Linked DNA regions of Nothobranchius furzeri. The protein of the gene in region 4 purifies or fractionates together with the protein of the main gene of each other region. This does not show direct contact. Links are inferred from orthologs where the notes say so. Each region holds a gene or a part of one and is shown on either strand. Other genes may lie near its edges.

Evidence for each region.
Region 1: the proteins of ncbp3 (region 4) and thoc5 purify together in Homo sapiens (co-immunoprecipitation; 3 studies listed by BioGRID and IntAct, with this or other methods). This does not show direct contact. The link is inferred for Nothobranchius furzeri from reciprocal best matches to the Homo sapiens genes NCBP3 and THOC5.
Region 2: the proteins of ncbp3 (region 4) and thoc1 purify together in Homo sapiens (co-immunoprecipitation; 4 studies listed by BioGRID and IntAct, with this or other methods). This does not show direct contact. The link is inferred for Nothobranchius furzeri from reciprocal best matches to the Homo sapiens genes NCBP3 and THOC1.
Region 3: the proteins of ncbp3 (region 4) and thoc6 purify together in Homo sapiens (co-immunoprecipitation; 3 studies listed by BioGRID and IntAct, with this or other methods). This does not show direct contact. The link is inferred for Nothobranchius furzeri from reciprocal best matches to the Homo sapiens genes NCBP3 and THOC6.
Region 5: the proteins of ncbp3 (region 4) and thoc7 purify together in Homo sapiens (co-immunoprecipitation; 3 studies listed by BioGRID and IntAct, with this or other methods). This does not show direct contact. The link is inferred for Nothobranchius furzeri from reciprocal best matches to the Homo sapiens genes NCBP3 and THOC7.
Region 6: the proteins of ncbp3 (region 4) and alyref purify together in Homo sapiens (affinity purification with mass spectrometry; 4 studies listed by BioGRID and IntAct, with this or other methods). This does not show direct contact. The link is inferred for Nothobranchius furzeri from reciprocal best matches to the Homo sapiens genes NCBP3 and ALYREF.
Region 7: the proteins of ncbp3 (region 4) and thoc2 purify together in Homo sapiens (co-immunoprecipitation; 3 studies listed by BioGRID and IntAct, with this or other methods). This does not show direct contact. The link is inferred for Nothobranchius furzeri from reciprocal best matches to the Homo sapiens genes NCBP3 and THOC2.

What each region holds. Positions count from the first base shown.
Region 1 is NC_091757.1:44,994,552-44,998,593, forward strand, and holds the start of thoc5 (THO complex subunit 5 homolog), read right to left. Parts: upstream 2,801-4,042; 5' UTR 2,686-2,800; intron 2,465-2,685; 5' UTR 2,463-2,464; coding exon 2,364-2,462; intron 1,688-2,363; coding exon 1,544-1,687; intron 1,316-1,543; coding exon 1,202-1,315; intron 846-1,201; coding exon 748-845; intron 525-747; coding exon 378-524; intron 260-377; coding exon 145-259; intron 1-144. UniProt on the Homo sapiens protein: Component of the THO subcomplex of the TREX complex which is thought to couple mRNA transcription, processing and nuclear export, and which specifically associates with spliced mRNA and not with unspliced pre-mRNA.
Region 2 is NC_091751.1:49,147,958-49,152,219, reverse strand, and holds the start of thoc1 (THO complex subunit 1), read left to right. Parts: upstream 1-1,462; 5' UTR 1,463-1,511; coding exon 1,512-1,559; intron 1,560-2,212; coding exon 2,213-2,286; intron 2,287-2,365; coding exon 2,366-2,426; intron 2,427-2,496; coding exon 2,497-2,566; intron 2,567-2,721; coding exon 2,722-2,840; intron 2,841-2,940; coding exon 2,941-2,989; intron 2,990-3,078; coding exon 3,079-3,174; intron 3,175-3,283; coding exon 3,284-3,366; intron 3,367-3,452; coding exon 3,453-3,526; intron 3,527-3,600; coding exon 3,601-3,709; intron 3,710-3,818; coding exon 3,819-3,953; intron 3,954-4,094; coding exon 4,095-4,195; intron 4,196-4,262. UniProt on the Homo sapiens protein: Component of the THO subcomplex of the TREX complex which is thought to couple mRNA transcription, processing and nuclear export, and which specifically associates with spliced mRNA and not with unspliced pre-mRNA.
Region 3 is NC_091745.1:30,134,782-30,138,886, reverse strand, and holds the start of thoc6 (THO complex subunit 6 homolog), read left to right. Parts: upstream 1-1,305; 5' UTR 1,306-1,436; coding exon 1,437-1,451; intron 1,452-2,018; coding exon 2,019-2,110; intron 2,111-2,183; coding exon 2,184-2,248; intron 2,249-4,105. UniProt on the Homo sapiens protein: Component of the THO subcomplex of the TREX complex which is thought to couple mRNA transcription, processing and nuclear export, and which specifically associates with spliced mRNA and not with unspliced pre-mRNA.
Region 4 is NC_091750.1:26,050,512-26,054,631, forward strand, and holds the start of ncbp3 (nuclear cap-binding protein subunit 3), read right to left. Parts: upstream 2,801-4,120; 5' UTR 2,266-2,800; coding exon 2,089-2,265; intron 1,763-2,088; coding exon 1,697-1,762; intron 965-1,696; coding exon 859-964; intron 773-858; coding exon 647-772; intron 539-646; coding exon 413-538; intron 331-412; coding exon 191-330; intron 112-190; coding exon 3-111; intron 1-2. UniProt on the Homo sapiens protein: Associates with NCBP1/CBP80 to form an alternative cap-binding complex (CBC) which plays a key role in mRNA export. NCBP3 serves as adapter protein linking the capped RNAs (m7GpppG-capped RNA) to NCBP1/CBP80.
Region 5 is NC_091743.1:56,272,747-56,276,462, reverse strand, and holds thoc7 (THO complex subunit 7 homolog), read left to right. Parts: upstream 1-1,440; 5' UTR 1,441-1,527; coding exon 1,528-1,546; intron 1,547-1,753; coding exon 1,754-1,877; intron 1,878-1,981; coding exon 1,982-2,109; exon of another isoform or gene 2,110-2,408; coding exon 2,409-2,495; exon of another isoform or gene 2,496-2,613; coding exon 2,614-2,671; exon of another isoform or gene 2,672-2,749; coding exon 2,750-2,816; exon of another isoform or gene 2,817-2,908; coding exon 2,909-2,978; exon of another isoform or gene 2,979-3,050; coding exon 3,051-3,112; 3' UTR 3,113-3,216; downstream 3,217-3,716. UniProt on the Homo sapiens protein: Component of the THO subcomplex of the TREX complex which is thought to couple mRNA transcription, processing and nuclear export, and which specifically associates with spliced mRNA and not with unspliced pre-mRNA.
Region 6 is NC_091752.1:50,607,405-50,611,693, reverse strand, and holds the start of alyref (THO complex subunit 4), read right to left. Parts: upstream 2,801-4,289; 5' UTR 2,674-2,800; coding exon 2,434-2,673; intron 2,170-2,433; exon of another isoform or gene 1,937-2,169; coding exon of another isoform or gene 1,730-1,936; intron 474-1,729; coding exon 315-473; intron 230-314; coding exon 82-229; intron 1-81. UniProt on the Homo sapiens protein: Functions as an mRNA export adapter; component of the transcription/export (TREX) complex which is thought to couple mRNA transcription, processing and nuclear export, and specifically associates with spliced mRNA and not with unspliced pre-mRNA.
Region 7 is NC_091750.1:48,389,664-48,393,163, forward strand, and holds part of thoc2 (THO complex subunit 2), read left to right. Parts: intron 1-1,114; coding exon 1,115-1,246; intron 1,247-1,326; coding exon 1,327-1,393; intron 1,394-1,640; coding exon 1,641-1,774; intron 1,775-2,458; coding exon 2,459-2,526; intron 2,527-2,918; coding exon 2,919-2,943; 3' UTR 2,944-2,962; exon of another isoform or gene 2,963-3,056; 3' UTR 3,057-3,500. UniProt on the Homo sapiens protein: Component of the THO subcomplex of the TREX complex which is thought to couple mRNA transcription, processing and nuclear export, and which specifically associates with spliced mRNA and not with unspliced pre-mRNA.

The DNA.
Region 1 (4,042 bases), on a different chromosome or scaffold from region 4:
ATAAAAGATGACCAAGTAGAAACATATAATTACATTTATAAAATATTGTATGCAATCATATGCAACCTCCTACTATCTTAAAGCGGACATGTTTCACTTGGAAGCGTAAAATTTTCATTAAAAATCTGTTTTTGTTATTTTTACCTGCATGATAGCATTCAGTCCTGGCTGCAAGCTTCTTAGATGCTCTTTCTTCACTTCAATGCTCTTCTGAATTTTCTCCTTTGTGGCCTGTGAGTCCTTGTATTTCTCAGCTAGCCTGTTTCCAACAAAAAATACTTTAATCAGCTGCTCTCTGCCAGACAAAGACTACACCGAACAGCAAAAAGTAACCACAATAGTACAAATGTGTACTATTTCGTGGTAAAGTTCTGTACCTCTTTCTCTGTTCGAGCTCCCAGTCCAGCCGTGCTAGTGTGAGCTGGTGGGGATCGGTTTTTGTGAGAGAAGGCCTGGAGATCTCCGGCGGGGCATCCTGGTAAAACTCTTCTTCACTCACCAAGTCAATTTCTTCATGCTTAGATCTTGTTAAGAGACGGAGAATTTAATTAGACATGACAGGATACTTTTCAAGTAGTGCTGAGAATGTTAAATTAAAAAGAAACAAATTGTTTAGTGGTTTCTTATAGAGATATGTTGTTACATCCTTAAACACTTTTAATAAAACTGATTATTTCATCTTAAATTATAAATAAAAAGTGTTGAAAAAACTAAAGGCTGAAGTCAAGTAAAGAATTTAGTACTAACTTGAACTCCAGACATTTGCTGATCTCCTTCTGAAGATGCATAACCTCATAGAGCAGATTTTGCAGCTGAAGGTGGAGCACATCAACTCTCTGTTTAGCCTGGAAACAGAAAAAGTAATCACCAATGAAATTTGTAAAGTAACAAAAAAAATAACCCTTTAAAAAATAATAAATGCATGCTTGTCAAAACTCAGCATTTGATCATATTAATGAATGTAAATCAAATTTGAAGTAAAACACTCAAAGCTTAACAAAGAACACAAAAACTAAACTGGTATTGCACATTGACTGTAGCCTTCACTGTGGTTGAATGTTAAAATGAAAAAGGTGCCTCTTGTTAAACATTCCTCCTGCAATCAGCACAAAACAAACAAACACTTTCCAGAAAGTAAACAAAACATTTTAAATTATAACAGTTTTTTTCCACAGTTCAAAAGTAGACTTGTGAAAATTACCTCATGTGTTTGGTCTCTGCCTCTTTTCAGTCGCATGTGAGCTAGACGGTTGAGCTTCTTAAGATTCATGAAGAGGATGCAGCTTTGCATACGTTTCTGCTCGACATCCATACTCTTAAAAAGAAACATTTATGTATATATATATATGGATATTTACTTTCATACCCATACACTTAACTTCAGATCTTACAGCTTTGATATGGCATGTGAAAAAGTCAATAAAAGAAACATCTGGAACAGATGTTTAGTAGAGATTTTCCAGCAGAAAAGGAAACGTTTGAAAAAGAAACTAAAGGAAAGTTGTATACTGCTGTGATGTATTGTAGAGATTATGGCTCTTACCCCTTCCTTGGCACCAGAGGCTTTCATCCTCTGGATCTCACTCATGAGTTTGGATAAAGCCTCACATGACTCTTTGTATTGATCAAAGTCCTGTTCAGGGTTCCTGCCATCCAATTCCACCTCCTCATTATAGACACGAACATCCTGGGAAAAGAAACAAGCATGCAATAATAAAACCATCAATAATATACTACTTCATAGTATTCTAAAGTTATTACACACCTACCTCACTATTGTTTTTGGGTTGCTAACATGCAACCTAGTGTTTAAAAACATAATGTGCTGTGAATATTCCTGTGAACTTGTTCAACATGAGATGTTCAATTGTTACCACAAAAACAGATTTAACCTTGTGTAATACTATGTGGATGAATTAACCGCAATTCAATATTCAAACACCTATAAAAACTATAACTTTGACTTTAAGGAACCTGTAGGACGTGAACTGAGAGGCAGAAAATGTCCCTGTTTGATTGATCATCACATAAAATAAAATGTGCAAACTCTGACATTTTTAACTGCCAATGTTCTGTATATTTGTAAACTCAACAGTAAGTACAATTAAAGCTTCAATTAGTAAATTCATCGCAGCAATGAAGTCCAATACTGGTCACTGAGAGCCACGATTCTGCATGTTTTAGTTATCTCCCTGCTCAAATCCACTGCTGTTTAACAGATTCGTGTTTTCAAGTTTACAGAGGCATGCTAACTATCCATTCATTCAAACTAGATGCTGCTGAAACAAAGATGCTGGACAGTGGGCCTACATGTCCATGATTGGACACCACTTATTTACAAAGTTCTGAGTGATTCTGTCTACCTGCTGGTCCGCCTCTCCACGTCCCCGCTTCACCTCCGGGGTTCCTGCTTCACTGCGGAGAACCTTCGATTTCCGCTTCTTAAGAACGTCGGAAGACATGGCTATTAGAATGTGAAAATAAAGAGTTTTAGACCGATAAAAAAACACCGATGAAAACATCACTTTAGTAACAATGACATACGGTTAGCATGCAAGCTAACACGGGCTAATAACCGTTAGCTTGTAGCTAACATCGGTATACTAAACTAATAGAACTAATATTTTGACGGATATTATGCGCTCATTGTGGTTATAAATAGTATGTTTTCCGACAAATACTCACTTGGTCCAAACTTACGTCTTTACTTGATAGAATAGTACACGTAAAAACGAGAACTCCCTCTACATACAAATTGTCGATTTAGGACGGAAGCCCAACACACAGACATACGTAATCGTAGACGCTCCAAGGACAGGCGCTGCCTATTTCAGCTGCCGTAGCGCCCGGTTGCCATCTTAGATGGGTCTCCATTCGCCTGCGGTGCATTTACATCTACTGATGAAGTTGCTGCTTACCCAACTAAAAACACATTATATCAAGCTTTTTAACCAAATCAGACACAATGTATGGCATAATTAAAATATAAATATAATTAAACGAAATAAATAAAAATAAAATAAAAAATATTATCAGGTAGGCTAGAAAAGGCACTAGTAAATCCACGTGATGTTTTTGCCGGGCATAGTTGATAACTCTGGATTGACTTTAGAGTGAGGAGGCAACAAGAACTGTTTCACAAATGAATTCCATATGTTCTTATCCACTTTGACTCGTATAAAAAATTCAAATGCAACTGCAAAAGCCATTTGTCATGCTGCCGAAAAATGTTTAATCTTGTAACAATGTTTTTACTTTGTGATATAAGTACCTCTTTTTAAGTTTATTTGTTTTTCTTTTATTGTTACTAAAGATGCCTTGTATGTTTCTATTATGTGTTGTTGTCTCACGAGAAATTTTAATAAGAATTTAATGATAATATTTAAAAAAGTGGAGGCCCATCCAATATGGCGGCGCCACTCTGGGTCTCATATCTAGAGCCCAAGAGTCAAAAAGCACTGCATTTAGCGCTAACGGAGGACACAGCGCGACCTACTGTCCTAAAAGCTACTGTAACTTTAAGAAATTCCACAAATAGTCATTTCAAAAATGTAAATGTAATATTATAAATTTGCAGACATTTTTCCATATTAGTTATTTTCTTTGTAAGTGTAATTCTCCATTTAATGCAAATGTATTCATAAAGCAGTTATAGATCTATCATATTGACACGATGCACAGTGTTTCAGTCCTATAAGAGCAATCTATTTGCATAGATCTTTGTTCATATTTTTCACTCTTTTGATTGTTACCTTGTATTGTGGCAATAAACTTAATTCTTAAGTGGAACATCTGTAAGTTTTTTTGCATCACGTACAATCAGAAGTTAATTTCTAATAGTTACATATGCAGCACCATTTGATACCCATCTAGAACAAACTTGCATCAAACTAAAAATTACAGGACCTAAATATATAATTTTCTACTTTGAAATCAATCAGTCTAACAACATAAGTAACATAAGTGTTTATTCACAGTTTGACAGTGTTTCAAATTTACAGACTTGTACAAATTATACTGAAATCCTCTTAATACATAAAAC
Region 2 (4,262 bases), on a different chromosome or scaffold from region 4:
AATTGGAGGTATATTTTTGAAAACTCGTTGCATAAAAGCTGAACAAATTATCTAGGGAAGTTTAATTGAACAAAATAAATAAATTATTTAATTAATTAATTAAATCACCCATTTTAGGTAGAATGTAGAAGATTTCTCAATCTTCTTGCCCTAATCACAACCTCAAACCACGCACAAATCACTTTTAAGAGTGCCTCCCAGCACAATCTCCAAGTTTCTCATCGTGCTTACTCCCTTTCTGCTCTTCATCAGTTTTTGGCAACAATCTGATGAACTCTGAGTAAGATAAGGGATGGGAGAAAATAGGTATTAGTAAATCACTCCTCACTTCCCTTTTTCATGAACACTACAACCACACACGTGAAGGAAATAGAGCCTCTCCTGCTTCCATGTGACACTAAACGCCTCCACTTCACAAAGTCATTGTTCTTCTCTTAACATCAGCACAGCCACCAAAACACTGTCACAAAAAGGTTACAAACACCCATCAAAAGGAGCTGAAAAGGATCATCCTTGTATGTAAATCCTAGAGGTCTTGACCTGGATCAAAACAAGCTTCAGTGTTCTCACATGGGTTGAGTAAATCTTTAGTTTAATGATTGTTGTCTCAGGGTAATGGAGCGGTTATTCTAATGTCAAATCGGACATTGTTAGACAAGCAGATGGTATCAAAGGATTCAAGGCCTGCAGCACATAGCTGAATGTTCATTTGCATGATTAGAACATGTGGAAGTGCACACCAAGACAGGCACACATGCAAAACAAACACATTACAACTGCTGTGCATTGTGACCTGTCAAAGTCAAATATTTATTAACAAGAAAGGACAAAAATTATTTCGCTCTTTCCGTTAAAATAAATATAACTTTGAAATGCATACAATATAAACAGAGTGACGTTATTTTACAAGTATTCAATGGCTGACACAACTTATTATTATTATTATTATTATTGTTGTTGTTGTTGTTGTTGTAATTATTATTATAAAGAAAGTTTGGAACATGACTCTTTAAAATAAAAATCAAGTGTAAGATTTTTTTAAGTGAGTCCTGGCCAAAAGGCAAACTAAACCATACAGTGGGGAAATTAGGATTAAAATAAATATTAATACTGTTATTTTCAGGAAGTAGAAATACTAATTTTAACTCACCATTTGAAGAAGGTTTCCATGCATCCATCACTTACAGCCACTCAGAGTTTGATGAATGTAAGCAAATTAAAAAATAATGAAAAACTTTAACAGCAACAATGGTGTACAACACTGCCATCGTGTGGTCAAGATTGCTATGCTACGGTTTATTTCCATTTTTCATCCAAAATGGAAATAAAAATGTGACTGACTGAACTATTTGAAACTAAATTAAAAAATACAAAGTTAGTTTTATCCTAACTCCGTTTATAGATAATATGTATTAATGTATAATTTTGTCAGATAATTCCCTTTACGTACAAAAACGCCACTTCATAACCGGAAGTGATTCGTTGGCGGTTCCGGTTTCAGAAGCGTAAAGATGTCTCTGTCCTCATTTAATTTTGTCGACGCTAAAGAGAAATTTTCGGTGAGAAGTGGCTTCTTTCTGTCATTTCCATCCATAATATATTTGTATGTAAGACAACTTGTTGATAAAACCGTAAAAAATCTTAACTTCACTACTTTATGGTTGTGCTTGTTGTACTAGTGTAGTAGTTAGCCAAAGAAGCTAAGCTAAAGTAAACGCTTCTGAACGGTCCTGTTGTTTACGAGGTTGAAGTTAGCTTCCGATTTGGAAATTGGCTAAAGAGCATTTGCACTCAATTTTATTTACTATGACCATCTTTAATCTGCTCTATTTAAAAAAACTACAATGCCTAGACAGTTCAAACCGGGACTGGAATATTCTAGACTAATAGCAGATTCCATAAAGCATAGTTTGTGATTTGTGAAACCTTTTTCAGATTTGTGAAACTTAAAATAGGCAGATTTTGAAGTTTCACAAATCACAAACTGTTTTATGGAATTTGCTATTAGTCTAGAATAATCCCGTCCAGGTTTGAACTGTCTAGGTATTGTAGTTTTTAAGATGAAGCAGATTAAAGATGGTCACCGTATATAAAAATTGAGAGTGGCCTTGGCCTTAGCCATTTCCCGAATCGGAAGCTTGAAAACGGAAGCAAACTTCTGCATCGTCTTTTGTTTCTCATTATGTCCTTTCCCATGCTCACCCAACCGTAGGCTGCAAGCACACAAGCACTAGCTGGTAAAACCTGCAAACCCCTAATCGCCGTGTTTAACCAACTCCCCGGCAAGTAAGTTGTGCTCCTGGGTCGAGGTTCCAGATCAAAATAATCCAGAAATACAAATTTACTACTTGTGTGTTTTTGTCAGTGAGACGGAAAAGAAGACCACACTGGATCAGGCTTTGAGGAGTGTTCTTGGTGACCAGATTGTAAGTTTAATAAGTTAGTTAATTTAAATTTGAAAATATGTGAGAATCGCTAATGATTGTTTCTCTCTAGCTTGAGCAGAAATCATGCTGTGATGACTATCTGTCTCTAATCTACCAGAGCATCAATGCTGTTACTGAGGGTATGTTATCACTACTGCTGAGGTGGATATTTATTTTAGATTAGATGATTTTGGATTTTAAACATACATGTTGAAAGGATCGCTTTGATATAAGTTTTGGTAAAACGTCTCTTAAAACAAATGACAGTGTAACATTTATTCTGTTTTTAATGCAGGTATCTGTTCTGCTACGACTCCTTTTGTCCTGCTGGGAGACGTTCTGGATTGCCTTCCCCTTGACTTGTGTGACAAAATATTCTCTTTTGTTGAAGAAAATGTCTCTACCTGGAAATCGGTATAATTACAGGCATTTTTTTTTGTAAAGGCAACAAAAATATTTCTCTGTTTTTGTTAGAAGGTTTCATTATTGTACCTGTGTTGTTTCTTTCTTCCAGAGCTCTTTTTACACAGCAGGAAAGAACTATTTGTTGAGAATGTGTAACGGTAAAAATCTTGTCTTTTTCTCTGTCATCCAAAAGACTTTCTATTCTCAGAAAGTTCAGGTGCAAGTGACTTTTGTTTCATCTGTACAGATCTTTTAAGGAGGCTGTCGAAATCCCAGAATACAGTATTCTGTGGGAGAATCCAGCTTTTCCTGGCACGTCTCTTTCCTCTGTCTGAAAAATCCGGTAAGAAAGTCAGTTATTTTTCTAACTTGAAGGGGAAAAAAATCAAAGCACTTTACAATCATATTGTAAACCTCTCAATTAAATAGATTTTGTGTGTGTTTTAATCCAGGTCTCAATCTACAAAGCCAGTTTAATCTGGACAACATAACCGTGTTCAATAAAAATGAACAAGAAAGCACTCTTGGTCAGAAGGTGAAGTATTGTTAGGTTAATTATTAGGTTAATGAGCTCATCCTTTCCATCCTGTTTCATCTGTTTTTTTGCTACTATGTTGACAGCACGCTGATGAAAAGGAAGACGGCATGGAAGTGGAGGAAGGAGAAATGGGGGAGGATGACGCCCCGGCACCGTGGTGAATGAAAACCATTTGCTGTATTTGCTCACATTTTCACCTTCATGAAATAATAGTACCCTTTTGTTCCTTAGTTCTATTCCGATTGACTACAACCTGTACAGAAAGTTCTGGACATTGCAGGACTACTTTAGAAATCCGTTGCAGTGCTATGAAAAAATCTCATGGATTACTTTTGTTAAGGTAATCCACCTCGGTGCAGCAACTCTGACCAATTTGACGGATCACTGTCAATATCCAAGATGAGGATAAAAAAATAAATAAACTTGTGTGTTGCTTTTGCTTTGCTCAGTACTCCGATGAGACTCTTGCTGTGTTCAAAAGCTACAAACTGGATGACATGCAGGCGTCAAAGAGGAAGTTGGAGGAGCTGCGAGCGTCTGATGGTGAACAGGTTTACTTTGCCAAGTTTCTCACGAGCGAAAAGGTGCAGAAAAATCATTAAAAATCTTTTAATCATGTATAAATAAGCAGTTTTTAACTGACTATGGCTGTAAGTCATATGTTTTTCTGTCTTAAAAGTTAAACTTCATTGTTTTGGGATTTTTTTTTTTTTTGTAATCTGCAGCTGATGGACTTGCAGCTCAGCGACAGCAACTTCCGGAGACACATACTGGTGCAGTACCTGATCCTGTTCCAGTACTTGAAGGGTCAGGTCAAATTCAAAAGGTGAACATTTGTGCAACTAAACAAATATCACTTGTTGGGATGGAATTAGTTCATGTTTATGCTTTTT
Region 3 (4,105 bases), on a different chromosome or scaffold from region 4:
TGCCAGATTATAGTAGGAATAATAGCCTGGCAAGCCAGACTAAATAAATGTATTATTTAGTCTGGCAACGCTCCATTGACGGCTCGCGGTTGTGGGGCGGGTTCTACCGTTGCCTACTGGACAATGAATGTGACATACTCATGTTTCACTCTGTTGCATCGTCCCACCCACCAGGCATATAGAGTGCCCTGATTGGCCCACAAAGCGGATATAGCTCTGTGATTTGTTCACTAAGCAGATAGAGCACTATGGCTCACCATTATGGACCAATCACAGCTCTTTATGTGTTTGAAACCCCTCTAGAGAGCTGTGATTGGCCAGCCAGAATGCTGTTGGGGCTGCAGAGGTTGCAGTGGAGTGTTGCTAGACCAAACTTTGCAAAGCAAGAATTTGGTCTAGTTCACTAGGCTATAGGAATGCTAAAGTGAATCCTCAATCCCTAGGCAGGTCACATAAAAGCACTATAGACAATATGGGCAGTGGATAACAAAAAGAGCACATCACAATATTTATTACTAATCTAATTTATTACTATTCTATTACTAATATTTATTAGTAACAGATTAAACGGCAACAGTTACAGGACTGATGTGCTTCTAGTTAAGCACTCCCTTATGGAGCGTGAGAGACAGCACCAGATCTACCTGTTGGAGAAATTTTTATTTATTTGTTCTCATTTTACATGATTAAACTTGTTAATACAGAATATCTAGTTCAATTTCCATGTTAGTGTCATCTACTAGTCTATTATGATCTATAAGACCACACAGGTTGCTGGACACAAAAAACTCAAGCTGGAAAACAAACTGAAGACAAATTAAATTTTAGATAAGGACAAAATAGAATATTTGGACTTAATTTGCTTGTGAATATTCAGTAGAAATGTGCATGCAGTAAACTTGTGTTTTTCATTTGAGTCACGTTGTGGGCTTTGCCATGCATGCATTATCTCTCACATATTTTTGTTCTGTATGATGATCACACACCTGTCTCTTTCAACATTCTGCAACTGGCTGTCACACCCGTGCACCCTGATGACAGGGTTCTTCTGAACTTGGAAGTATTTCTTTGTTCGAGATTTAATTCCTGATTTATTTTTTACTTTTGAATAAGTGCTTCTTCCCTGATAATTGAATGCATTATCATTTATTTGATGTATGTTTAGACAGCTAACATCTACCGAAGCCAAAGTCCTTGTAAATGCAACTTAACTTGGCCAATAAATCTGATTCTGATCGATTCTGATATGTCAGAAACAAGCCCTCTCTTTACTACATCTCCCACAATCCTATGCTTGATCATACGTCATATCTATGCGTCTTTCTCCGTCACCACCCGATTCGTTTCATATTTATGTCGATGGTTTCTCCCGCGCTGGCTCCATTGTCCCTTGTTTCTCCGCGACTTTAACGGAACCGGGAGGATTTTGAGGCAGAATGGGACCCGTAGAGGTAAATATTATAGCTATCGCGCACACGCTTCTGACGAAGAGTAAATGTTTTAAAAACCAGCTGCAGCCCTATTCAGTGTTTCTCTTCTTCGTATTATTGTTAAAATCTCATTAAACTGTTTACTAGGCAAACAAACATATATGAGGTATGATTTGTACAGGTTTTAACTTATTTCTTTGCTGGCGGAGATTTTATTATTTAGGAAGAAACATTCAAGCTTTCAAAATAACGATGTTCTCTGATATCATTAAACATTTATAAATCTGAAAGTGTTACAGATATTATTGTAACCAGGTTCAACCTGATGTTAGAGTCTGTTTTTAAGGTAGTTTGAACTGATTTGATAATCCGTTTCAGGAAGACACATTTTCCGGGCTTGGTTTCTCCGTGTCACGTGACATGTTCCCACCAATGACCATGCGCCCTTGGAAACAGCCATAAAACCCGCACACATCCTCCCGACCATGTCGATGCTCCCGACGCGGATCTGAAAACAGCCGATATGATCGTTCATGTGTGTCTGATGTTGTTTAAATAAGGATTAACTCGATCTCTTCATGTCCGCAGCTCCTCCACATGTCGGTTTTCTCCCAGAGCTTTTCTCCCTGCGGACGCTTCCTGGCGGCCGGAAACAACTACGGAGAGATTGCCTTGTTCAGGTGGGACAAACCAGCGAAACTGGTCTCGCCTTTCACCAGTCTGAGGTTCACACCTGCCGTGTTTTTGTTTCAGCTTGGCTGCAGCTCTAAGTCCAGAAGCCACCACCGCTAGCCAGAAGCCTGTTCTGACGTTTACAGGTGAGTCCTCAGAGAAGCTCTTCAATCCCACCTGTGCGCATTCCGAGGAGTAACCAGAGCCGGGAGACCTGGAGATGGACTGTCCAATCTCAGGGGCAGTAGTTGCTGAGGTAGTCAAACGACTACACAGCAGCGGAGCCCCGGGGGCGGATGAGGTTCATCATGGGTATCTCAAGGCTATGGATGTTGTAGGGCTGTCGTGGTTGACACGCCTCTGCAACATTGCGTGGTCACCGGGGGCAGTTCCTGTGGAGTGGCAGACCGGGGTGGTGGTTGCCATCTTTACGAAGGGTGACCTGAGGGTGTGTTCCAACTATAGGGGGATCACACTCCTCAGCCTCCCTGGAAAGTTCTACTCCAAGGTACTGGAGAATCTCAGATAGAGGAGGAGCAATGTGGTTTTCGTCCTGGCCGTGGAACTGTGGACCAGCTCTATACCCTTGCAAGGGTGATGGAGGGGGCATGGGAGTTTGCCCAACCAATCCACATGTGTTTTGTGGATTTGGAGAAGGCTTATGACCGTGTCCCCAGGGGCACCCTGTGGGGGACGCTCCAGGAGTATGGGGTGGGTGGCTTTCTGTTAAGGGCAATTCAGTCCCTTTACCAGAGGAGCGTGAGTTTGGTCTGCATAGCCGGTAGTAAGTCGGACCTGTTCCCGGTGAGGGTTGGACTCCGCCAGGGCTGCCCTTTGTCACCGGTTCTGTTCATCACTTTTATGGACAGAATTTCTAGACGCAGCCGTGGTGTGGAGTGTGTCGAGTTTGGTGGCAGGAGAATCTCGTCTCTGCTTTTTGCGGATGATGTGGTCCTCCTAGCTTCATCCAGCTCTGACCTTCAGCTCTTGCTGGGTAGGTTCGCGGCCGAGTGTGTGCATAACTGCAGACGCTGAGCCGATCTGTCGTGGTGAAGAGGGAGCTGAGCCAGAAAGCCAGGCTCTCGATTTACCGGTCGATCTACGTCCCAATCCTCACCTTTGGTCATGAGCTTTGGGTAATGACTGAAAGAACGAGATCGCGGATACAAGCGGCCGAAATGAGTTTCCTCCGTAGGGTGGCCGGGCTCAGCCTTCGAGATAGGGTGAAGAGCTCGGACATTCGGGAGGGACTCAGAGTAGAACCGCTGCTCCTCCTGATCTAAAGGAGCCAGTTGAGGTGGTTTGGGCATCTGGTCAGGATGCCTCCTGGACGCCTCCCTGGGGAGGTGTTTCGGGCATGTCCTGCCGGCAGGAGGCCCCCGGGTCGACCCAGGACACGTTGGAGAGGTTACATCTCCAATCTGGTCCGGGAACGCCTTGGGGTCCTGCCGGAGGAACTGGTGGAGGTGGCCGGGGAGAGGACGGCCTGGAGCTCCCTAGTTGGGATGCTGCCCCCGTGACCCGGATAAGCGCAGGAAGACGACGGGGGCCCAAGGCGAACACAGACATGAGGCCCCCTAAATTTTCGACAATCTTATCTTTAACTGGATTTGTGAAACTTCCCTCTTCTGACATGAGTTATTTTCACTTTTTATTAGTCCTCCTCTTTTTTCCTGTCTTTCTCTCCCTATGAGTGCTTTCTTCTTCCTGTCAGTGCTCCTGTGTCCTTTCTTTTTTTTCTTCTATTTTTTCCATTTTGGTCTGTTTTCCTCCCTTTAAACATTTCCGATTTTCTTTCCTTTTCTGCTTCCTTTTGATGTTTACATTGAAAAACAACGTCACTTATGGAAGTGAAGATAAAGGCTTTTTTAAAGCAAGCAGCATCTTTCTCTTATTGGAGCCACTAGGATAACTCCATTTCATGCTTCATGTTTTGACTATCGCTTAGAATTTGTTGCGAACGCTCCCGCCTCTCTTCTTCTTCTTATTTGTGGTCTTATGGC
Region 4 (4,120 bases):
ACCTTGTGTAGCAAAGCGCAGAAACAGTTTGTTTCCTTTAAACGGTTTGATGGCAGGTCTCAGCTCGTTCCTCAGCAGCGACTCCCTCTCAGCTGCTGACAAGTCGTCCACCTGACAAAAACCGCTGAGTCAGTCATTGGTGACACACAAACTGCTGAGTCACTTTGTGACATCACAGTAAACGCTCTACCTGGCCACCATCCACCTTCCTGTTCTGGTCCACTTCTTCATCACCATTCTTCTTCACCTCCTCTTCCACCTCTCCCTCCTCCTCCTCCTCTTCATCATCATCATCATCATCCTCTTCTTCCGACCCTCGAACCCGTCGAGCTGTGATGTTAAAACAGATTAGATTACCTATAATGCACCACACCTTCATGACATGTTCAGTTCAGTCGTGACTCAGACCCACTTTTGTTCCGTTTGCCCGGCTGCTCGCTGGACTCCGTCTCCGTGACAACAACCTCTGGTGTGGGCATCTGGCTGGAGTTGATGAGAGCTCTGATACAGGTGTCATCATCCAGCCAAACTACGTTACCTAGGCGACAACAGGACAGGTGAGATGCTGCTGAGCAGCACTGCTGTCCTGGACCTCTGCTCTGATTGGAGCAGAACGCATTTTGTTACTCTCATGTTCGTTACTCACAGGAAGTGTCATTGATCCACTCAATGTGGGCTGGAGGATACTCCCTGAAGTACCCGAACACATCCTGCGTGCTCATGTCGTCCACACCACTCACATGGATCGCCTCCATCCGCAGTTTAAAGATGGCTGAGCACCACAGAAGAAGAAAGCTACAGTTCCATAAACCCAAGCAGACTGCTGTTAATGATTTGAAACAGAACACCGGCTCACACCTTTCTTCATGGCATCTTTATCCAGGAAGACGTTCCTCTGACCAACGCTCTCCTCACAGCGGAAGTGGAAACGTCTTGCTCGTTTCTCTTTCCTCTCAAACGCTTCCTGACAAACAAAACCTACAATCAGATACCCGAGACTTGAAGATCACTTTTACAACTGAAATCATTAACAATGATCAAATATGAGCTAAAAGTGTTTCCTGATTATGTTCAGATTTCACAAAATGACCTGAGCTTGTCCTTTATGAGAGCAACATTTACAATCAACAGGAACAGACAAGAAACAACAAACCAGCACCTGCTGTCGCTGAAGTACAGGTGGTACGTGACATCACAGCATTGCATTCTGGGTACTTGAGGCTACATGGGCATAAGTGAACTACCAGCTGCTGTTCCAGAGAAGACGGCGTTCCCAACAGACAACTCGAAGATGGGTGGCGATTATCTAGAGCAACCTAACCCTAACCCAGCGGTCAGAGGAGGATTGGGTTGTGGACTGACGACCCTGCTCAAACCAGTAAGCCGTAGATCTGTTAGTCTGAGCCTTCATCATCTGGAATGTTTAAAATGACGTGGTTTTATCTGAGCGGTGGTCACTGCTGATCCTTGCTCCCATCCATCATGAGGTATGGCAAGCTGTTGTGTGTCACATGAGAAGCACCGCTGTACCTGGCACAGGAGGAGAAGCTCGAACAACTAGTTCTCAGATGAAAGCTCGCCCTTCCCAGAATGTGCTCCTAATCATGAAGAAGCCTCAGCTTGTTAGACCTGCTCGCAGGATGCACTAAAACATCCAGGAGTGTTTCTCCAGCTCAGGTGTGTCCGGTTCCGGTACCTTCGAGTTCACGTCTATCCCGGTGATGAACGCTCCGGCCTTGTTCTCGTACCTCCGGCTGGTGTCCTGAAAACAGCAGATCCAGAATCAGCCTGAGGAGCTTTCCCGGGGGGAGCCCTCACCTTGTATTGTTTACGTTTGTGTCATCTACCCTTGACAGAAACAAACAAACTCCTGGCTTTTATTCATCTCTCGGACTACAAACAAGTAGATTTTAAATTGTGATTTTTCTTCATTAACGAAACCTTTGACTTCAAAGCCATTAAACGGAGACAGAAACCGCGGTTGCTAACCGGGGAGAGCCGCTGCTTCAGCGCCGGCGCCTCCCGCTGCTCGGCCGGCGGGAGGCACACGCGAGTCCCCGGTCTATCGAGGCCTAGTCGGAAACTTACCGGGAGCAGCTCCTTCAGAGAGCGGTTAACCGAGATGTCCTCCGCCTCCAGCTCTCCCTCCTCCACCTCCATTGGTTCGGCCTCACGGGCATCTCGATCTGACTCGGAGTCTGAGTTCGGTTCCGAGCGATCCGAACCGCTGTCTGATTTAACCTGTAAACTGCGCACTGCCGCCATGGCGCTAACTGCAGCAAACAACCGCAGGTGGTGCTGCGCTGAATCCTGCGACAATTCAGCGCGCTTCTTCTTCTACGGTGCAATTTTTTTTAAACAATCTTTATTGACACATTTGCAGCAGACAAGACATAATATATTGACAAAACAACATCGATGTACAGGGTGTGATACATTGACAAACAGAGAAGAAAAAGAAAACACTGTTAATGAAAGTAAACATAAATAATTATATACAAACAAAATAACATAAAATAAAACAAAATTCCACTAATACATTACCTTGTAATATGGGGCATAATAGAATTCATCAAGTTGCATATTTTCACAGCTTTCTTGTTTTTACTAATTCTACGTACAGTCTCATGAAAAAAATTAAGAACAATATAAAATAAAGTTACATTTGGTATAGTCTGTAGAAATCTGACTTTATGAATGTGAAATTTACCCAACAGACACAGCAATTTTATTACATTGTTAACTTCCTTGTTACATTTAACGTTTAAGAATAAGACCATACTTTCATTAAAAGTAATCAATATTTTATGAGAATCCCAAACTAATGAAGACAATTGATTCCAAAACTGTACAACTAAAGGACAACCATAAAACAAATGAGTAAGAGACTCAACACCTGTTTTGCAAAAGGAACATAAAGGGGACACATCAGGTCTAAATCTATTAATAAATTCATTACACGGATTATATCTATGTAAGATTTTCAAGTGTATTTCTTTAACTTTATTGGGGACAAAAAATTTCTGAACCTCAGAAAAGGCATTGCTACTGATGTCAGGAAACATTACCCTCCAACGATGTAATGAATTTGGAACCTGACTATATAGAGAGGTGAAAACGGCTCTAATGTGAGCATTGTTACATGAGTGCTCTTCAAGAAGCTTTCCACCAAGACACAGTGCAGGAATCCTTCCTGTGTAAGGTGTATACTGAACAGGAGCTCTGACAAGAGACAGTAAATGAACAGGAATGCTTTGGAGGATTCTAGAGTGCATAGCGAGAGATGTGTTGAACCCCTTTCGTTGGATGAATTCATCATAGGTAGCTAGGTCCCGTTATCATTCAAAAGATCAAACACAAACATAACACCTTGATCATACCAGTCTTTGTAAAACAGAGTCTTGTTCTTGTGAGCAATATGTTGATTGTTCCATAAAGTACATGTGTGAGGGGAAAAGTTGTGTTTGAAAGCCATTTTCCAAGTGTCCAGGGCTTGTTTGTGAAAGTTGGCCAGTTCAATAGGCAGTTTATCTGAGGTAAAGTTGCATGAAAGCAAGAACTTTAAACCGCCACATTTGTTAACCAAAAAAATTGGGAATAAAAAACCATGGTTCATTATTATGTGAAAGACAATGTTTTAACCAATTAATTTTGAATATATTGTTGATAGTTTGGAAATCCAATACATTAAGACCCCCCTCTGAAATGTGTCTAATAAGTGTTTTCCTCTTTACATATTCATTTTTATGTTTCCAAATAAACTTAAATAAGAGTGAATCAATAGCTGCACAGGTTTTCCTATCAACATATAAAAATAAAGCTGGGTATACTAACCTGGATAATCCTTCAGCCTTGGAGAGTAAAACACGACCTATAATGGTAAGATCCCTCTGTAGCCAGCAATTAAAGACAGATTTAGATTTCTCAATTTTAGGGTTGAAGTTTTTTGAAATTCTTTCACTAGAGGATTTGCTTAATGTGATAACCAAATATTTAACTTCTTTTTTAACCTCTATGCCATCTATTGATACGGTGTCTAAATCATGTATGGCTAATATTTCACATTTTCTCTTATTAACTGTGAGACCAGAAGCATCCGAGAACCTGTTTAAAGCTTTAA
Region 5 (3,716 bases), on a different chromosome or scaffold from region 4:
TGCCCATGTGAGCGTTAAAGTCCCCCAGCAGAATGAGGGAGTCACTGCAAAGAGCGCTTTCTAGCACCCTCTCCAAGGTCTCCAAAAAGGGTGGGTAGTCTGAACTGTAGTTTGGTGCATAAGCACAGACCACAGTCGGAACCCGTCCCCCCACACATAGGCGGAGGGAGGCTACCCTCTCATTCACTGGGGAAAACTCCAAAGTACAGGCACCAAGATGGGGGGCAACTAGTATGCGCACCCCTGCTCGGCGCCTCTCAGTGGGAGCAACTCCAGAGTGGTAGAAAGTCCAACCCCTCTCAAGGAAACTGGTTCCAGAGCCAGAGCCATGCGTTGAGGTGAGTCGAATATATCTAGTTGGAACCTCTCAACCTCACACACGAACTCAGGCTCCTTCCCCACCAGAGAGGTGACATTCCATGTGCCAAGAGCCAGCTTCTGTAGCCGAGGATCAGACCGTCAAGGTCCCCGCCCTCAACTACCACCCATCACACACTGCACCCGACCCCTTTGGCCCCTCCCACGAGTGGTGAGCCCATGGGAAGGGGGACCCACGTTTCCTCTTCGGGCTGTGCCCGGCCGGGCTCAGTGGGTGAAAGCCCAGCCACCAGGCACTCACCAATGTGCCCTACCTCCAGGCCTGGCTCCAGAGGGGGACCCCGGTGACCCACGTCCGGGTGAGGCAACACGTTTTCCATTTATATAATTCATCATACGAGGTCTTCGGGCTGCTCTTTGTCTGATCCCTCACCTAGGACCTGTTTGCCGTGGGTGACCCTACCAGAGGCAGAAAGCCTCAGACAACTTAGCTCCTAGGATCATTGAGGCACTCAAACCCCTCCACCACGCTAAGGTGGCAGCCCAGGGAGAGGCTATTTTCTAATCCTAATCTAATCCTATTTGATATGTGCCATATATTTCACATATATGTCTGTGAATTTTAAAGACACGTTTTGATGTCAAGAAAGTGCTTATTTTTGAACAGCTGCAAAAGTTTAGGGTTTTGTGTTAAAAGATGTGTACAATGCCTGTCCAGTATGGGAAGCTGGTGACTGGATGCTGAACCATCTTGCTAGACCAGCATTGTATGCTGATCTACCACTAAACCAGCACCAAACACAACATATGCTGTTTTTATGAGCAGGGCTTTGCTCATACATAATTGAGGCGTTTTTTTACACAGCAAAAAGTGATTACAGCATTCATTTTGCCTTTGAAAAATGTATTCTACCGTAATTCAATTTCATCACTTGATTGTGTAATTTGTAATTGATTGTGTGATAAAAAAACCTAGTGGTATTACTAAATTGCATTTAAACTAAATCTCTGTGTCACATAATCACTGTAATCACTGTATACTTAAAATCCACATTATTTAACGAAGATGAAGCGAAAAGATCACAACATGCAGTAACGTCCTCTTACCAGATAAGGCAGTAACGAGCTCAGCTGTGTCTGAGTTGCCTAAAGACAAAAGATCAATCAGTACCAGTAGAACGGAAGTAGTAGAAGAAGAAAAACAGCAACATGGGAGCTGTAACTGATGGTTTGTGGCTTTATCATTAACTAATTTCAGCACTTAAGTTACTCTTTACTTTTGTTTTCGTCTAAGTTTAAAACATTGTAAATTGCGCCTTATTATCTGGAAAAATACCCAGAAATGCTACCTGTAATAGCGACGTTAGCTAGCACACTTAGCATAGATGCATTATGTTTTCAACGCTCTTCAGCTGCTTTATTGCATGTTCCACAGATGAGGTGATTCGAAAACGTCTTCTCATTGACGGTGACGGAGCTGGAGATGACCGCCGAATCAATCTGCTGCTGAAGAGCTTCACCAAGTGGTGCAACTCACCTTCTGGGACCCTAGAAGAAGGGTACGAGCTAGCAATATATCTGTCTCCAGTTTTTGCTTGTAACATCTTGAATGCCGAGTACACAACTGCAGTGAAATGCTGAACATTGGGCTCTTTGTGTGTAGATTCACTCAGTACCAGAGGATGGTGGCTACTCTGGCTCAGTGTGAGTTTTCTATGGGAAAGACGTTGATGGTTTATGACATGAATCTTCGTGAAATGGAGAATTATGAGAAGATCTACGCAAACATAGGTAAGATCGGCTTTGTTTTCAATGTCACAGAATTTTTTGTTAATTCTTTTAGTCATACATGCCAAATGGCCTGTATTTTATAGAGCTTTCTAGTCCTGGAACCCCCCACGGCGTTTTACAACACAACACAATCAGACATTTACACACACATTCACACACTGGTGGTGATGAGCTACATCGTAGCTACAACTGAGCGGGGCTCGAACCTGCACCCTTCTGATTATGGGGCGAGCACTTAACTCCTGTGCCACCATCGCCCAATTAACACTAATCAAACTTTTTTCTTTCGCACCTCGCAGAACAAAACATCACATCTGCACATGAGAAGATCACAGAATGCAAAAAAGAAATTCTGCGTGCCAAGAGAATACGAAAAAATCGCCAGGGTAAGGACATTTTAACATCTGTTGTATTTACAGAAAAATTACCAGATGTGGTATCAAATGTGCGTTGTCAAAAGGATGTAAACTTTTTTTTAAGTATCTGTTCTCTGTCTCTCCAAAGAATATGATGCTTTAGCAAAGGTAATCCAGCAACACCCAGACAGACATGAAACACTCCAGTAAGTCAGCCTATCGATAAAACATGTCAAGCTCCCCTTCATGTTCAATAAAGTGCTCATTTTTGTTTTACCTTCCAGGCAGTTGGAGGCACTCGATAAAGAACTCCAGCAACTGTCTCACATCAAAGAGAACGTAGATGCAAAGGTAAACTCAAACACAGCGGCCTAATGTTGTTAAAGTATCAGATTTAGTTGTATTTTTACTGACTTTTTATGCCATGTTTGCATTCTCTTTAGTTGGAGTTGAGGAAGAAGCAGTTTCATGTTCTTCTTACTACCATTCAGGAGCTGCAGCAGACACTAGAAAGTAAGTAGCCACTTGGTTATACAGACAAACTGTTGTCAGAGCTGCCCTCATCGTCTATCCTGTCTTTCCTAGATGATGAAAAGTCAGATAGTGACGACCACAGTCAGGAGAGTCCCATGGAGAATGGGGATTGAACACATAAAGAGCCCAACTGAAGGAGTCACAGCTTTTAATTGAAATTTAGTTTGTCTAAGAATCCTTTTTTGTATGTATTTTTGAATAAAGCTGTCATCTTGGAGTATATCTTTAATTCTTATATTCTCTTTTCATTAAAATAATCTCAGTAAAAATGTAACCAAAGCTTCCAGGCTTTTAAGAAAATCAACTGAAACTCTGATCAGAAAAGAAATTTAATACGCGTCAGTCAAGGACAGAACAGTTGTTGAACATTCATATGTGCTGTATTTTCTCTGGAAGTTTCTGCACTATAAGTGAGAGTTTGAATACTTGTAAAATCTAAGTGTCATTAAACCCAATTATCATTTTTTTCATACTAAATTATCATTTTTTCATACCAAACTATCAAATAGTTTCTGATTTAAAGTTCACAAAATTACATTCTTCTGAGAATAAGACGTCTGTAACAAGAATTATGGTTTTGCTCATTTATTTAAAAATGAATGCCAAAATTTACTGATGTAGTAAATAAACCACAATGAAAGAAAGCCTCTGACTTCCTATGTGAATGATCACTATGTACTTTGTTGCAAACCCCTGTAAATTGTTTTAACCGAACCA
Region 6 (4,289 bases), on a different chromosome or scaffold from region 4:
AAAGGGGGTTGAACACTCAAGAAAGTTTGAATTATTTAGTCATGTCAAACCAGAAAAATGTAAACAAGGTCTGAAGCGTACCATCCAGTGGGATGCCGTTGTACTGTTTCATGGCCTTTAGAGCGTCAGCTCTCCTTTCAAAGTGGACATCTGCTGTTCCTAAGCTTCTTCCCGACCGGTCGTAATGAACTGCAGCTTTCTTCAGAGTTCCGAATTCCGCAAAAAGTTCCTTGAAAAAGTACATCCAAGATTAGTCTAAGACAGCAACAAGCCATAAAACACAACCAACCAGTGAAGCGCGGATTTTGGAGTACCTGAATGTCTGCATCGGAAACACCGAAGTCGAGATTGGAGACGAGGAGCTTCCCTCCAGTTTCCACACCAGCTCCCCCGCCACCCCCAGCAGCACCATTGAAGCCACTGAAGCCGTTGTCGAACATGTCGTGCTGCCACTTGTCTGGGAGCTGTTTAGGCTGCAACAGATGAAAGAGAACGCACCTGCTGACTTCAGGATCCCCTTGCCTCTGCCCATCACTGAGTCCACACGGCTGGCTGTTGGGGCAAGCAGGGGGCTCCACTTCCAACATGGTGCTCAGCTCCCTTTAGAGGGGGGGGGGTCCCCAGTATTCCCTGCCCACCCCGTCACAACGAGCAAGTGCATCAGCTCAAAGGGACGTGCACACAAATACTCAAAAGCAAGGGGATTTGTAGTAGTCTCGCTTCGATTCAAATTTTGAACTTTTTTAAACGTTAACACACCAATGTTGGGCCATCTTAAATCGGAATGTGTACAAACATCACAATAAAGTCCATACTGATTTAAGTTAGTAAAAACATGCTCAAACTAGGGATGCAACGATACCACTTTTTTCCAAACCGATCTTAGTACTCGCCGATACCAATACAGATACTTCTACCACACAAAAAAAAAAAAAATGCAATGATTTGGAATGCAGATTTTACTTTCTTCTCTGCTTTCAACAGGAAAAGACTGTGAGGTAGATAAAAAGTAAAATATATGAATGGAAATCATCACAAAACTAAAATATTAGGTGAACAGAAATGACAAGTTACAGTGAAGCCATTTTCAAGCAACTGCATTGGTATCGGTTCCTGGTATTGGTTAACTTTCACCGATACTGGTATTGGTATCGGTGCCGATACCAGTATCGTATCGGTGCATCCCTAGTTCAAACTCACTGGTTCCCAAAGTTAGGACAGGACACCAATGTTGAGATTATCAAATTTAAAAATAATTGACATATATGAAGAGAAAACATCTAAACAGACCAACTGACAAGCGTTTAGTCTTGGTGAAAGTGGATGGAGTCATCTTCCTGTCCTAATGTAATTGTCTTATTGGCTATTTGTACGTGTCCGTCATGAATAATGAAGGTTTTTAATCACAGATCTTGTAAATCAGAAGTTAAAAGATCTGGGAGCCACTTGTTTCAATCACTCTAATCAACTGTCTAAAGAAAAATGGTCCCATTAAAGCCCACTTAAAATAAAAATGTATTCTTTAGATCCAAGTTTGATGTAGTAAATGGATTAAAAACAAAACCATAAAAACAAAACTCAACAGTCCTGTTCTGGGTTTCTAGTGAAATAAACCCTAGAATAGACTAACGAGCCTTTCCAGAAACCTAAGTATTACCATCACAGATATTTCTTAAACCCAAACCCACAGACTTGATGCTAAACCTGTAAAACTCCTCAGACTAGCTACCAGAGATGCCCATTGTTCTCGCCATCTGCGCCTCCCTCCAGAAAAGCCAGCTCCTCGGGACACTCGGGGACTCCTGTTCGATGCAGCGGCGTCTCCAGCGCTGGTACTTTGTGTCCTGGACCTCAGAACAGTTCTCAGTAGGGGAAGAGTCCGTGTGCTGGATGAGGAGTGAAAATGGCCAGATCTCCCCTCTGCGTGAGCGTCCATTTTGAAACCACGCCATTTTGACTGGGGCTTTGTTTGGCTTCGCTACCAACTCGATCACACTTTAAAAGACGAAGAACCGGTTTTGTTTGGGCACTAACAGAGGAGTAAAAGTCCGCTTTTCCATCCACAAGTAACAGGCAAACTGGTAGAAAAAGCCACCAGAGGGCTTGAGAACCCACTCCCCGAACAAAAGGCCGCCTGGTCGCTGCGCTGGCGGGAACTTGAGCACATATCCCGCTCCGACAAGCAGTGAAAACACACTTTCGAGTGATACTCTTGACGAAGTGGGTTTCTTTCACCACCGTGGCCAGGATACCTCTCACTGAGCACTCACTGACGACTAGCTTCACAATGCGGGGCTGGATTCAAAATGGCGCTGAGGGCCTCCACTCCTTCCGTAGGCTGTTGAAGCTCGACGTGCGTTACACATTTGGGTTGCGGGAGAAGGGACACAATATGAAAACATTTCTCTGCTTATTCCTCTAACATTCTCATACCCTGCTGTAAGGCGTAGGTCTGCCTCTAGCGCGACTCAGGTTCTGTCGATTCCTCATGGGGCCGGATCCACCGCCTCGGCCTCCAAAGCCTCCGCCGCCGCCTCCGAGTCGCCCAGCGCCTCCACCCCGGCCGCTGCCTGTGCCTCCGCGGCCACGGCCTCTTCCTCCCCGGCCTCCACCTCTCTGCTGCCTGCTCTGTTTGATAATGTCGTCTAAAGACATATCCATCTTATCGGTCATTTTGCTGCCCCAATAACGCTAAACTTTGAACAAATTAAGAATGTTACACCCTAGACACGGTCGGTCCCTCTCCCTGTCCCTTTCAAGGCTCAACGGTGTCTGATTCTTGTAGCAGCTGCTAAACACAAGTAGTAGAACACGACGTTCTCTACGTAAGCCTGACGTGAGTACGTGAACGTGATCCCCTCTACTGTCGACGATGAGGCGGAACCGGGCGGAGCATGTATCTAAAAGAAACCTTGACAGGAAAATGTGCGAATTGTGCAAAAGTTCTACACAGATGTGGTAAAATACAGAACAAATAAATAAATATTTTTTTGACAAATATGACATATAACATTTGATCGAAACTAAAACTGTAAACTGAAGAAATAACCGGGAAAAACTAAACCACATCAATCATCAATTCTTAAAAGAAACTTTCACAAAGTCAAGGATTTTAAAATAATATAGTTAAGTGTTTAAAGAGCAAGACACTCCCAGATCAACTTTTTTCTGATAAACTATATAAATGCGTATCTAACCGTGCTGCAGACACGTGTAGTTTTGCACTTTTGTGCATTTAAGTTAAAATTTAAATTTTCTGCCTAAAACTGTGAGTGTTGTGCCGTTGTCAGGTAAAAACTCTGCACTGCATTTGAATTTAAATCTGCCATCGTTATTGGCAAAGGGGTACCCTAGAACGTTAGCTGGTAGCATATGATGTCACAATGTCGTTGTGTGTGTGTGTATTTGTTAGCGGGCCCGCCCTCTTGGTCTGCTAGGCAACAGAATTTGTTGCATTTTTCAAACAGGAAGTGGGAGCGGAGTAATACTCTGGTAGGGGGTGACTTGCTCTTTAAGCAGTTACACAGAACTGGTGATGGCTACTGACCCCTTAGATTTCTAAACTTTTGCTTTTTTTTTTTTTTTTTTTTGCACAACTAACCAGTTTTGGGTTGCTTTTAGCAGCCCCTAGTGTTCTGTTAGTAAAACCAAAAGTGAAACTGTGCATTCACCTTTTTAAACACCTTAATCCATAATAATGTCTCCCCATCCTTCCTTAATTTCTACAGGAGCAGCTCATCACTAAATTGACCAAACCAGCAGTGTTTATGATCTAAAACATGCAGGAAGCAGACTGCAGCACCAGGCATGTCAGCTCCACAAGTCCAACTCTGAAGTTGCAAGTGCGACATTCTGGCCATAGAGGGTGGTCGGGGTCTGAGTGACATTTCATTAACCCTGTACAGGGTTGTTTTAGCACACACTGGCTCAAGAAAATTTTAAAATATGAAAATTTTGCAAAACACTTCAGATAAACAATTATTTGATCTTTCAAGGGAAAAAGCAGCCAAAACCTGGCACTGCATGCCTATTTGTAATAACTGCAATCAACCATTTGCTTTTGAGATCATTGAGCCTACTTGACATTGTCAGACATGTCTTACTTTTACAGGTCCGGCTAGAAACATTCAACCTAGCTTTCCAAATAACATAGTTTATCAGTTAGTGTGATTTAAAAGGGAGAGGACAGAACCTTCTCCACGTATTTTGGATAGCCCCCTCTAATAATTGAAATAAATAAAAAATAAAATGCCTTTAGAATTTACTCAGTATCAATAAAACATGTTAGC
Region 7 (3,500 bases), about 22 Mb from region 4:
TGTTTGTACTGAAACCAGAATATGAAATGACAACAGGAGGCCGAGAAGTCTCCGGGAGCTGTTATAAAAAGCACAGCAGACGCTGAGGAGGACCTAGGTCTTCATGAGTGTCTTAGATGAATGTGTCGTCTCAAATTAGTGTCCACAAGATCTAGACTAAAGCAGAATATTGATATAAGCTAATCTCATGGCTCATGTTGGTTTTGTTCAACATCTTTGTCTTGAAAATGCAGGATGACATCATGAAAAGGTTTGTTTTTATTTTTTTGGGTGTTTGGCCTCATTTTAGGTTTCTGAATTTCAAGACAAGCCCCATTTCTGTATGTGTTCAACTAAAACTCGGTTCTCTAGATTACATTTCAGCAAATTGATCTGCAACATTTAGCTTTAGGTTTTAATATTATTCTCTATTTGGACCGTTTTAAAGTCTTTTATTGTAATTACCATCTAGATTGTTTCCTGAACAACCTCTGTTAAAAAAAAGGTTAAATCCAACCAGACTGATGTGCTAACAGCTAGTCAGAGTGCAGTCAAGACTAGTGTTGCTGCCATACTTAACTCTTGAACTGCCAGCTGTTTCCTGATCAGAAAAGCCCTTTGCTGCCAGCGTTTTTCAGCATTTTCACAGTTTTTGCCAACGCCAAAACAACCAAAACAAAGTGGAATCTCATCTCTTACATTAGGAAGAATCTGCGCGTTTCGAGCGTTATCCGTTCTTTCATAATCCGTTGTTGAATTGTGATCGGCAGAAGCTTTTCCGGTTTGCGCCACACTTTTTTACAGCAACGGCCCAAAACGATCTCCTAACACATGGATGTTCTGCTTCCTGATCACGTGACGTGTGATGTACGCAGATGAAGATCGGCTTTAGAGCTGAGATGTTTGTTCACATGGTGCGGGGGCTCGTTCCGACGCTCACACAGTAAAAAAAATGCAAATGACTACTTAAGTTGTCAATGGCAGTGAATGAGTTAAATGGTTACTGTCTCTTTAAGGTGATTCAGGTGGTCAATTCTATTTCTTGATTCTAATAATAAAGTATGTTTTCACCTTTGTTTTGTTATTGTGGTGTTTAATGTTTTGTGTTGTTCTGCTCATGTGTCGTCGTGTTTAGCACCACACCAACTTTAACTCAGTTGCCCGGTCCAAGAGCAGAGAGAAGGAAGTGGAGAAGAAAGAGACAGAGATCACACAAGGCCGACCCAAAGAGAAGAAGGAGGAAAAAGAACGAAAAGAAAGGAAAAGAGTGAGCGTCCTGCAAGTGATTGTTATTGTTTATCAGCCACGGAGCTGAAAGGATCACCTCCGTGTTCGTTTCTGTTTCAGGATCACATCGTTACAGACCGAGAGGCAAGCCTAGAGTCCAAGCGTAAAAAGGATGAGAACGGAACCAGTGAGTCATTGTATTTATTTTTTTCCCTCTCTTAAATTTCAGATGCCTTTGCTTTAGAAGTCAATTAATTTTAACTTCCATCCATCCATCCATCTTCTGAACCCGCTTGTCCACGTAGGGTCGCGGGGGGGCTGGTGCCCATCTCCAGCGGTCAATGGGCAATCAGGCGGGGTACACCCTGGACAGAGAGCCAGTCCATCGCAGGGCAATAAATTTTAATTTCTTAAACTAAATGTTTTCTTCCCAGATTCGGCTAAAAACAGTCCTTCCTGTGACTCTTCACTGTCACCCGAAAAGGAAAGAACCAAAAGATCCAAATCATCCAGCAAGGAGAAGGCCGAGTCGGTGAAACCGGAGCGAACTTCCTCCGGAGGCAAAAAGGTCTGTTCAGCTCAGCACCGTTTACATCAGGGATGCTTCATACTGGGAAAATTCATGTAGCCATTTATTTCTAACTCTAATATAAAAAATACAGAAACTTTTAGCAAATGCCTCGTGTAGCACTTCAAGTTTTACCGCACTGCTGCCATCATGTTGGTAACTAATCTGTTGGTGATTTTTGTACAGCGGGATATAAATTCCTGGGTCAGATCGGCATTTTTTGGCAACCTAATTAAATCATAACGTCCCTCTGAAGGGCAAAATCTTCAGCTATTAGCCAACAGCTCAGAAGTACCACCCCTTTTCTCACAAATAGCTGTTGACTGACGCATCAGAGCCAATGAAAATCAGAAAACAGCAATATCTTACATAACCAACGCCTTGTGGTCTGCCTCCTCAAATGGGCTAGGAACGATTGTGATGGGTGTGCCAGGAACCCTTAACAGTAGACAAGAACATGTTGAGTACTCAGACATGGCATCAGAACCGGTGATGTGACGAACACATCAGTGTGATGTTGATGTTCAGACGTGACGTCATGCAGCTGTAGTTTACGTCCTAACCAGACTCCATATTTAATTGCAGGGTTTGTCTATTAGGCTCAGTTTGGGTCTGTTTTCAGTACTTGTCTAACACGGAGGGAGAAAGCTAACCAGTTTAAACTCCTTCTTGTTCTTCCTGCAGGAGTCCAGGCATGAAAAAGAGAAGAAGGATAAGAGGGACAGCAGCAGTGGGAAGGAGGAAAAGAAGCAATATCCTTCATTGTAGACTCGGTGTGTGTTTATTTTTGCTCCGTTCACCTGAACCAAAGCAGCTGTGGTGTCCTGATTTGTTCTGGGTTTAGGTTAGGACATTTTTCCTGTTGCTGCGCCCAACACTGAACTTGGTTCACTTTTTGTTTCCTTTATGAGATTCTCTCTTTAGTTTAACTTGGCTCATTTCCCCCACCTACCTCCCCACTCATCCGTGATGTTTGTGCTGAGTTACCCAGACAAACAGCCCCACTTCTCCCCAGCTTTATTAAACTAGTGTCTAAAAACGGTTTGGTGTCATTTCCTTTGGAAGAACTCAAACCTTTCTGCTCTGTCTCAGCTGTTTTTGACAGTTCGTAGTTACAGATCACGGTTTCCCTTAACAACCACACCCATAAATCTGACAAGCACAGATAATGTGCACTAATCAGTGAAGGTAAGGACCACTCAGCTGGTTACAGATCAGCTCTACTGCTGCTAGATTTGAATCTTCTGACGCGTTTCCTGCCCTCTTCGACCCACGTGTCCAGCAGCAGATCTGGTGAAGCTGTGCTTCTGCCTGCGAGACTCCTGTAACTCCAACTGCCACGTCGATGACCTAGCACCCTTTTTTTTTCTTCTTTTTGCCCACAACTTGTTAGCAGTAGTTAAAAGCCAGATCATCCCTTATTTACCCAGTTTCAGATGGAAGCTTTCATTTTTCTTTATTAATATTATTATCAGTATGGACACAACATGCTGCTGTAATCACAGTGTTATTTTCCCAGAAATGTGGTTACTGTATGTAAAACCCCCATGGTAGCATCTGGTCAGATTCAAAAATCCCAAACTTGGAAAATGTTGCTTGTTGTTTAGTTTTTGTACTTTATCAGGCCTTGCTTTTTGCTCGTTTTATTAGATTTAATGTGCTTTCCATTCTCACTTACCTCATATCTTTTTGAGAAACTTTTATTTATTTATCTGCTCCTTTTAAT